2 linked regions of the Nothobranchius furzeri genome follow. The protein of the gene in region 1 purifies or fractionates together with the protein of each later gene. This does not show direct contact. Links are inferred from orthologs where the notes say so. Each region holds a gene or a part of one and is shown on either strand. Other genes may lie near its edges.

Region 1 (4,674 bases):
CGTCGACTTCGTCGAGGCTTCGCTACAGGCCTACGTCTACGTTTTGTAAACAATGTGAAACTGCATAAACAAGTGCAAGGACCTCTGGTAGCCCGAGGTTTCTATTCAGGCAGCTAATGAAGCTTTAGCTGTGTAGTTGATTTAAATCAACTCAAAATAAACGTGTTCTATAGTTTTGAGCTGAAGATGGGCTAGACCGACTGTTTTAGGCAGAATTTTGAGTTTTCAAAGAAAATTCATCAAAATGCAAAAATAATGACTACATATGCCTACAACACTTTTAGATACTCATTTATACAAGTTAACAACAAAAAAAGTTGCTTTTGGTGTGACTTGCTCTTTAAAGATATCAATGCCAAATGTAACGCAAGGAAAGAGCTCACCGAGTTGAACGTTTTCATACCAAATTTGCTGAAATAGCTGAAAATCTGAGGTAGTTGTGTTACCCCTACATCTGTTCTGGTGCGCCTGAAATTCTAGCGCCACGACTATGACACCCCCCCACCCCAAGGGTGGAAACATTTCTAGGGGAAACACTGAAACGGTTCCAAAAATGTATGGAAGAAAAAAGAAGACATAATAAAAAAGAGAAACGGGAACACTTTAGCTTGAATGCTGTAATAGCATTCAAACTATTAGCCCTCCCACTGTCCTAATGGGTGACCCCGCGGGGAAAGTTGACTATTGAGCAGGATTGATGGTTTATCCCTTGAGGTCCGCATGGCAGGAGTGAGGAGTGAGCACCCCCTGACCCCTGCCACGTGGACCTCAAGAGATAAACCATCAACCCTGCTCAATGGTAAACTTTCCTCACGGGGTCACCCATTAGGACAGTGGGTGGGGGGGTTAAACAAAAAAGGGTTTCAGTAAAAATAAGTGAATTTAAACCTTGCTGCTCCCTGTGACCCCCTCAGCAGTGTAAACCATCAGGGCTCCTATCTGCTGCCAGCTGCTCCTCACACCCCCACGCACCAACGATGGAGACGGGTCGTCTTTGCTTTCATCTGTCACAGACTTTTCAGCAAACTCTTGCAGATGTTTGAGCTTATCCTCGATGATTCTCTCCTCTTCCTCCTCCTCCAACTTTTGCCGCTTGCCCTCAGGGAGTCTGCTCTCTGGGCTCAGCTGCCTTTTAGAGAACTTCAGAAAAACACATTAAGTCTTATACCTTCTATTATTAATAACATGACAGAAACAGGTATACCTGTCCATGTTTTGCCTTAGAGGGAGAGCTGGAGAAGAAATCTTTTATACTGTGTTTAGACGTGAGACTGGGCTTAATATCCCTCTGCGTCCCGTTCCTCCCTCCATTGGTCTTATCCGTGGCTTTCAAGCTCCTCCTGGGCATGTTGGGGTCTTGTGCTTTGGAGCTCAGGGAGAAGGTGAGTGTGAATGGGTGGTTCTGGTCCACCAGGTACAGCGTGCCTCCCTGGGCAAGTTTCCCAGACTGGCCCCGTCCCAGCTTCTCACCATCAAGGAAACTGGGATTGGCACCAAGCTGCGGAAGGATACGTGTGGACGTTGAACCGCAGACCTGATAACATTTATTTAGTTTTTATGGGTTTAGATAAGCAGGGTGAGAGCAGAGGGGGCAGCAAGGCCATGCTGGCACCAACACTAGTTTCTAAGAATCGTTAGAAGTTAAATGTTGAGTCAAATGACAGCTGAGTTTCCTCTCATACCTGAGTAACGACCACATCCAGGTCTGCATAACAAGCCACCACCTTCACTGTAAGGAAAACAGGAGGAGATGACATGTGCAGCTCAACCCAACCACACAACAGTTTTATATCATTTAGAACAGGGGGTCCTCAATTATAATGGTCCGAGGGCCACTCAACAAACAGACCCAGGAGCAAGAGGTACGGACCGGGGCAGTGCTGTAGGAATGTCGGGGTGGGGGGGTGTTTCTAGCGCTTGCTGTACTGCACAAAACACACAAGCTTACAATATAATGAAGCACAGCACCTGTCCCCTCCTGGTTTAACTTCAGACAAAACAGGGGGGTTCGGTCTGCGGGCCGCCTATTGAGGACCACTGATCTGGAAATGTATCTATCATTTATAAATATGACAAAAAACCCTCTGACATCTTTAACATTTCCTATTAAATTTAATTTGTTTAAAAGGAACCCAGGTTACAAAACTGTGTGGTTCTTAAAAGATAAATGTTAGTATCAGTTATATTAAAATGGTGTAAAAAACCTTCTTAATGTCTTCATTTTTATAAAATTAGTAAAAATAGTTTAACTCATAGGTCGCCATTGTTGTTAGCATCGCAATGCACTCTGGGTAGTGACATCAATTGGTTGTACCTCGGTAGCACCGGTTGGCTTTGGGACCCTGTAGTGATTGTTCAGCGACATCAACACGTCATCTGTTCAGCCTTTTCACTTTGAACCAGAGTGAAACATTAATGGTGACATCACTGACCACGTTTCACAAGACGAGAGTCAACATGAAGAGCAGGAAGGGCGGGATGAAGCGAGAGCTGGACAACACCGGTGGCGCATGTGCGGCAAATGGGTCTCCATGGTAACTGAGGGAGAGTGCTCACATTTGTCAGCAGAAGTTAACGGTAAGCTTTCGTGTGATCAAACTTATTCAGTTATGAATGATTTAGGAGATTATTAGCATCCAGAGCTGTCGTGTGCTTCATAGATGATCAGGATGTTCAGTGAAACCACTTTAATCATTGTTGCAGATTAGGGATGGGTACCGAATTCGGTACTTTTTAAGGTACCAACCAAATTCCATAGTACCGACCGAGCACCGATTCACGTCGTTTCAAACGGTGCCTCCTTTCGGTACCCGTCCATCATAACGAGAACTTGCCTAGACAGCTGCGCATGCGCAAGAGCGTTATGTCGTCGGTCCCTGCGAGTGAGTTGTAAACAGAGCAGCATGGGTAGAAAGAACGCACGCTAACGCTTGGGTCTACTTCACTAAATGTGATGGGTAACTGGGTGATGAAACCAGCGACAATGATCTAAGTGAGTCATCCTCATCTTAATCTGTTCCGGTAGGTAAATAAAATGTTTAAGATAACGTTACCTTGATATGTTAGCTTCCGTTTCGCTAATGGTGCGTTCGCTTTCTCCTCGGAACTCCGAATTTCCGCCTAGAAGAACATGAATGCGCTCTAAAGTTTGGCTTCACTTCACTAAATGCGACGGGTGATTGGGTGAAGAAGAAACCAGCGACAACGATCTAAGTGTGAGGCATCATCGTTTTAATCTGCTCCAGCAGTTAAATAAACTGTTAAAGTTAACGTTAGCTTAATATGTTAGCTTCCATTGCCACCGTTGCCGTTGTTATCAGCTAATGGTGCGTTCGCTTTCTCCTCGGAAATTCTAACTTCCCAGTAGGAGAAATCAAATGAAAAAAGACGGCAAAAGGAATGAAGATACACAGTAAATTTAGTTCACAGTAAAGATGTTTGCTTCAGTTTAATTATCAACTTATAAAACTACAAGGACCATGTTAAAATACAAACAGTTGAATGTTATTTATCGTGATATTCATCAAATATTGTTATATATAGAGAAAAATATATATTTAATTATAAAAGAGAATTAAAATAAACACTCAAAAGTATCGAAAATTGGTACCGTTAAGTACCGGTATCGATTCGTAGGTACCGGGAATTAGTACCGGATCGATTCAAATGTCAAAGGTACCCATCCCTATTGCAGATATTATATATGTAGACAACACTGTGTTGCTACACTTACTGCTTGTTTTACTGATGGGAGAGGTGAACGTTCAGCTACATCCGTGACAAGTGGCGTGTCCGATGGTTGGCTGAACATGACAGAAGCGGCAGCTGAAGGAGCGGGTTGTCGGTTCAGGAGAGCATCCAGCATCTCTTGTCTCTCCGAGGGCTTTTAGGCTCCTTGTGTGGGGAAATGGTCGCTAAAGCATTTAGTTTCCACCTTCTCTTACACCCAACCACTCTGGTGAGCTCTTTAAGTCGTTGTGGTCGACTATAAGCCTCAAACGCATCAGGAGAAAAATGTTGGGAACACAACCGCGGATCTTTGGGAAGTTGTGTCCGTCCACAGGCCTCTTCCCACTGCTTTCTCCTCTTCTTGCCAGTGGGAAAGCTGTGTAGCGTGATGCAGATTCTCTGATTTGTGGCAAAGGTCACATTTGCCCAGCTGGGTCAAGCTGGGTCAAACAGTACTTTTGGATCCACAGATTAACCCAAGGAGCCAAGATGTCTGCTCAAGATCATAACAGCCATATATAGGTATCCAGGGTATTTATATATGATCTAAGCCTCATAAATTAATCTGATTGGTCATTCTTCGGAATCTCCACTGAATAGCAACAGAGGTGATTCCAGTATGCAGATTTAACTCTACAGCTGTGTAAACTCACATCACTCCCCTTGTTGCTCTTTGACTGGAAATTACATCCAAAAGCAGCACAATGCGGCATTTTACTTCATTATTAATACAGTGAGCATGTAAACAAACACTAGCGTCAATAGCTATTCTTCCAAGAGCAACCAATATACATCATCACCCCCAGAGTGCATAGCATGCGGAAAACATGGCATCCTACGTATGTCCAAAAATGTGCTAAATATTATAGATTTATAAATAAACAGCAATATTTTGTGTTTCTAACAACATAGTTTGGTACAACAGAAAACGTGTGGCTTATTAGA
Region 2 (5,317 bases), on another chromosome or scaffold:
CTTCACTTTGTTTATACTCATGATTTAATTTTCTATTTTATCACTGCTATTGTTTTTCTGATGTTTTTATTGGTTAGAGGTATTTGCCCTGATCTTTATCATGTTGTACAGCGCTTTGTGATTTATATCTGTGAAAGGCGCTATATAAATAAACTTTTACTTACTTACTTACTTACTTAAATATAACTTTAGCCCTCCTAAATCTGATTTCATAAAATTATTAACTGCGCTTCCTAAAGAGGTGGTCTTCCAGTACAGAAACATTATTCAACACCAACCTATAAATCCACAGTATGGTTCTATCTCCATCCAAGGTGTTCCCCTTATGGATAAAAAGTGTACCACCCAATTTATTAGACGGTGTTTTACTGATCAACTATACCCTTGTAAAGTCAACAAGAACAACATAATTTACAAATTTGGTAAAAGCTCCATTATTAAACTAAGGATTCTTTATTTAAAACTTCCTATTCAACCTAAAGTCAAAGAAACACATTTTAAAATTTTAAACAATGTCTATCCCTCATAGGATCTGCTCAGAAAATGTTTTAACATTGATGATAATTCATGTTCCTTTTGTGAGAAGGATGTTGAAACAACTGATCATATTTTCTTTGAATGCAACAAGACACGGACGTTTTGGAACTGTTTTGAAAACTGGATTCAACCTCAAATTGGAATCCCATGTCCCATTTCAAGAGATGTCGTCACCTTTGGAACTCTCCTTCAAACAAACAACCAAGAACTCTGCTACAATCTACTTCTCTATCTGGCAAAATTCTTCATACATAAACAAAAAATACTGAAATCACCCCCTGTGTTTAATGCATTTGAACATGATTTTAGATTGTATCTAAGATCCCTTAAATGTGTCAATAATAACAGCTATGAAGATATGTATAGACTGTTGTGTAGACTTCCTGGAACTGTGTAGTGATCCCTTGCATTGTTTGTTTTTGTGTATTTTTTTTTGTCCTCCCCCTTTTCACTGACTGTTCGATTCTCATCTGAATACATTGGCATGTTCGCCTTATTTATAATGTAAATATGCTTTTCTGCAATAAAAAAAGGTCCTACTCACTGGCATGCTGAATCCAGCCTCATGCAGTTAGCTGAGACGGCTTCCAGATGTCTGAGAAAACACTAGTTTTCTGTATTAGTTTTATTAGTTTAATCAATGGTTGATGTTATTATTGGTCTAAAAACAGCTGAAGAATATTGAAATTTTGTTGTGGCTCAGATTTTACTATGCTACATTACAATAAAACAACCCCCTTTCTGACTTGCTGTGTCTGCCAGTCAATTTGTGGCCAAACAGATTTTAGAGTATCTGCTCCTAAAACTGTTCTTTATGTTGACGGTGTGGAAGAACTCATGATCTGACGCTTTTCTCCTTCACCGTCTCTGACGGCTGGTGTTCAGACTGAGACCAAGTCAGATTTCAACCAGCTGTTTTTGTCTTCACATGATAAATGTGTGTCTAATGTCCATGTCATCATACCTCATCGAACTTCAGAGGTGATTTCATAATCTGATATCAAAAACCCCTATTCCTGTGTTTCTAATGATAAAGCCATGAACCAATCACACCTACAGTTTGTGTGACGGTTAGTGCTTTGATCAAAATGTCTATAATCTCAACAAATTCTTAACTTGGCAAGATGGTGTAAAGTGGTTTGTGTTTACCATGAAGATCCTGTCTATTGAAGTACAGATAAAACACTACCTATATGGCCAAATAAATACCGTCATGAAAAATTAAAATTTAATTATATTGTGGGGGGTTTCCATTCTTACTTCAAACATCTAGACAGCACTGAAAAACCATTTTAGGGTTTTAACAGTGTAACCACTGAAGGATCCATGACTACCCACTAACAGTGGGTTAATTGGGATCAGAGGTAACTGGATTGGTTTTATTATCTGAATGATGAAAGTTTCTTTGTAAATATTAGAAACTTTTTTGTGCACCCCGGCTCCTTTTTCCTGTGGTGTTCCACAGGGTTTAATCTCTGCACTACTGCAACTAATGTGGGATCTAAAGAAAACATCAAAAATTTCCAAAAACTTCACAAATGGTAGTACAATTGTTTAGATTTTAATACTTAACAGCTAAAATGTCTACCAAAAACATAAATAAATAAATAAATAAATAAATAAATAAATTACAGCTATTTGATCTCACATGCCTGTGAAAAAAATACTGCTCTATTGTGTCGCTTGCTGATGACGTCACATCGCAGGCGCCGGTTGAATCTTAAAACAGTTGCTAAAAGAGTGAAAACTTGGATTTTTCCTTAAAAAGCAGCTACCAACGTGATCCGGTACCACTGGAGGTAGGGCAAAAACTATCATGGTGTCTTTTTTATGCGAACGAGCTTTTTTTTTGCTCATCTTCTCACGTGTCGGCATCCGACTTTTGTTTACAAACAGCTCTGACATCTGAGAACTAGTTAACCTAGCTGCTGCTAGTTCGTTCGTGGTAACGCTAGATTATATCTTTAGCTCTACTTTGAAGGGTTAGGACTTAGTCAGAAATTTTATTTTTCTCTCCGGGGTTTAAAATCAGGTAGACGCAGCCAGTAAATAAAAGCAAAACAACAAACAAATTAGAAACATCAGCAGTAGATGAACAGATGTTAATGCTAATATCTGTGAAGGTGCATGAAAACACTTCCAAATTTATTTTAAGTTTATTATTTGAAATTGATTAAGTCATTAGAAGATGATAATTTTAATTTTTACTTACAAAGAAAGTTAGCAAAATGTGTTGGACTTGGTTTTCACACGTCTGTCTTTTGATAAGTACAGTATGCTATGACTTTAAGAATTGTCAATGTATTTTTTTCATTATCATTTATTAAATGTTTTATCATGATCACCTTGTCCAGATAAATAAATGTCCACTGGCATTTTATGGTCATATTCTCAGATATCCACGTTATATCTGACAGCTTCCCAAATCACCGTATTGAGGCTTTTTAGGGAGTTTATTTTACGTTTTGATGAACTGCTTTTGTTTTCACAATCTTGATAAAGTTATTCTTCTTGTTCTGTCCTCACTCTGGTCTTTATTACCCTATTTATTAATTTTCTGAGCTGTTTAGACTGGTTTGCAGGTAGCTGGTGCCTATCTCCAACATTCAAAAGGATGTTTACAATAATTTACATAATGTATTGTGCAAAGATTCCTCACCTTAGTCCTCATTAGATAAAACAAGACATTTGACGGTCCTAAGTATCTTTTATTAGTATTTATCTGTATTTTGAAGGCTATCTTGCCCCTACTTTAACCTAAATCTAGACCATTTGATGTATTTTTTTTATATTTGCGGACTTCATAAAGGATTTAGGTAATAGTAAAAACACTGTTTTCCCTCCATGTTCAAAACTGTTTAAATGGTTAGTCCATCTTCATGTAACCATGTCATCACTCCTAAGAAAGCACCAGTGGTTCAATATGGAGTCTTGTCCATCCATTCCATCCATTTTCTGCAGCAGCAAACTGTCCCCATTATAAACAGTGTTGGTAGTGCACTGATTTTGTCTCCTGAGGTGCAGAATGGTGGACCAGAATCTCTTCAAAGCCATATGGAAGTCTTGCTCCATGGTCTCATCGAACTCCTCCCATGCCCGGGTTTTTACCTCTGTGACCACCCGGGCTGCATTCCGCTTGTGTACCCATCAGCTGCCATGCGTCGAGGCGGGTCCGACTATTTCTAGTCAGAACCTCTCAACCTCGTACACCAACTCAGGCTCCTTCCCCACCAGAGATGTAACATTCCACGTACCGAGAGCCAGCTTCTGTAGCCGAGGATTTCAAGTGGCGCTCGCTGCAGAACCACAAAGGCGGAGCTGCACCAGAGTCAGCCCCGCCCATTCCAGAATCAGCCCCGCCCATTCCATCAGAGTCAGTCCAATTCCTTCCAGTTGTCAGACTTAATAGCATTCTGGAACCAAAGAGGGTGTTATATATCATCCAAAATGCAAGATTGAGGACTGAGTCGAGAGGTTACTTGAACCGTTTTTGTAAAGGTTCCATATAATTAAAGATCTAACTTTTGGAACTTTTTATCATCTTATATTGTCATTTCCTCATAATCAATCAATCAAAGATACTTTATTAATCCCAGAGGGAAATTAGAGAAACACGCCAAAGCCATTTTTGGCCTCATTCACACATTTACCTCCCATCTCAGCTTCAATTTGGTCCTCTTCTCCGAAGCGGGTCTGGTCTTGGTTCTCAAATCTGAATATTCTGTGAATTTTCTGACAAATTATTTCTGAAATGGCTTCTACTGAGACGCCGCCGAAAAACCATACATCCTGTCTACAAAAACACACTGGATGGGACAATTACATGTGACGCCACTAGCCTGTTACCAGATGTAGTGGTGAAGTGGTTGGGCAGTCAGCTTGGCATGTAGTTTTGCGCAGGTTCGCCTCCCGGTAGCGGCGCAAACTTTTTTCTTCTTTTCTAGCTACACTTGCCAGTACTATGTTTACAACCATTTATTGGTATACCGTTTAAAATATGACTAATGTGTTTTTTATTTATTCATTCATTTATTTAGCCAGTGTGAGTCCATTTATGAGCAGAGTTTCAACTAAAACGCTGTTTAGAAATGACCAAATTCAAATAACTTGTAGAGACATAAATATTTTGCAGAAAATAAACATTACAACTAAAATATAAACAAATTAAATGTTTCAGCTGGCTAAATAGATTGCTGCCAACCCCACCGAGAGTCGAACCAGCATCAGCTGAGGGGAAAGCAAAACTTAAATTTTGACGATCTTGCCACTAGACTACCATAGCCCACTAAATAATTATCCTTACAGTAAGTGCTGTTGTAGGCCGGTTCTGTTGGAGCAGCTATGGGCTAATATTCGCTAAAAGAAACCTTTTCTTTTCAGGATATATTCAGGCTTTGTCATGTAGCAAGTTATATTTGTCTTGCTTAATTGGAGCATAGAACATAGCATTAACAACTGTAAACTAGTAACAGCCGTAATTCATGTGGGTCAGGTTAGTTTGCGATAAAATAATATAAAAAAAAAACAACAGAAAAAGTCAGTAGGCTAGGCTGTTTGCGTGAGTGGGTGGGGCTGACTGGTGCAGCTCTGCCTTTGTGGTTCCGCAGCGAGCACCCTCTCGAGGATTTGACCGCCAAGGTCCCCACCTTCGGCTACCACCAATCACACATTGCACCCGATCCCTTTGGCTCTCCCATATGCGTGTGACCCAGCCGGGCTCCTCGAGTGAAACCTGAGGTTTCACCCCTGGCCAACAGGCGTTTGCCGACGTGCCCCACCT

Evidence for each region. The genes of interacting proteins can lie anywhere in the genome.
Region 2: the proteins of pnkp (region 1) and xrcc4 purify together in Homo sapiens (co-immunoprecipitation; 5 studies listed by BioGRID and IntAct, counting the BioPlex papers as one, with this or other methods). This does not show direct contact. The link is inferred for Nothobranchius furzeri from reciprocal best matches to the Homo sapiens genes PNKP and XRCC4.

What each region holds. Positions count from the first base shown.
Region 1 is NC_091753.1:66,377,011-66,381,684, forward strand, and holds part of pnkp (bifunctional polynucleotide phosphatase/kinase), read right to left. Parts: intron 1,730-4,674; coding exon 1,683-1,729; intron 1,499-1,682; coding exon 1,205-1,498; intron 1,141-1,204; coding exon 889-1,140; intron 1-888. UniProt on the Homo sapiens protein: Plays a key role in the repair of DNA damage, functioning as part of both the non-homologous end-joining (NHEJ) and base excision repair (BER) pathways.
Region 2 is NC_091746.1:37,569,593-37,574,909, reverse strand, and holds the start of xrcc4 (DNA repair protein XRCC4), read left to right. Parts: upstream 1-2,208; 5' UTR 2,209-2,336; intron 2,337-5,317.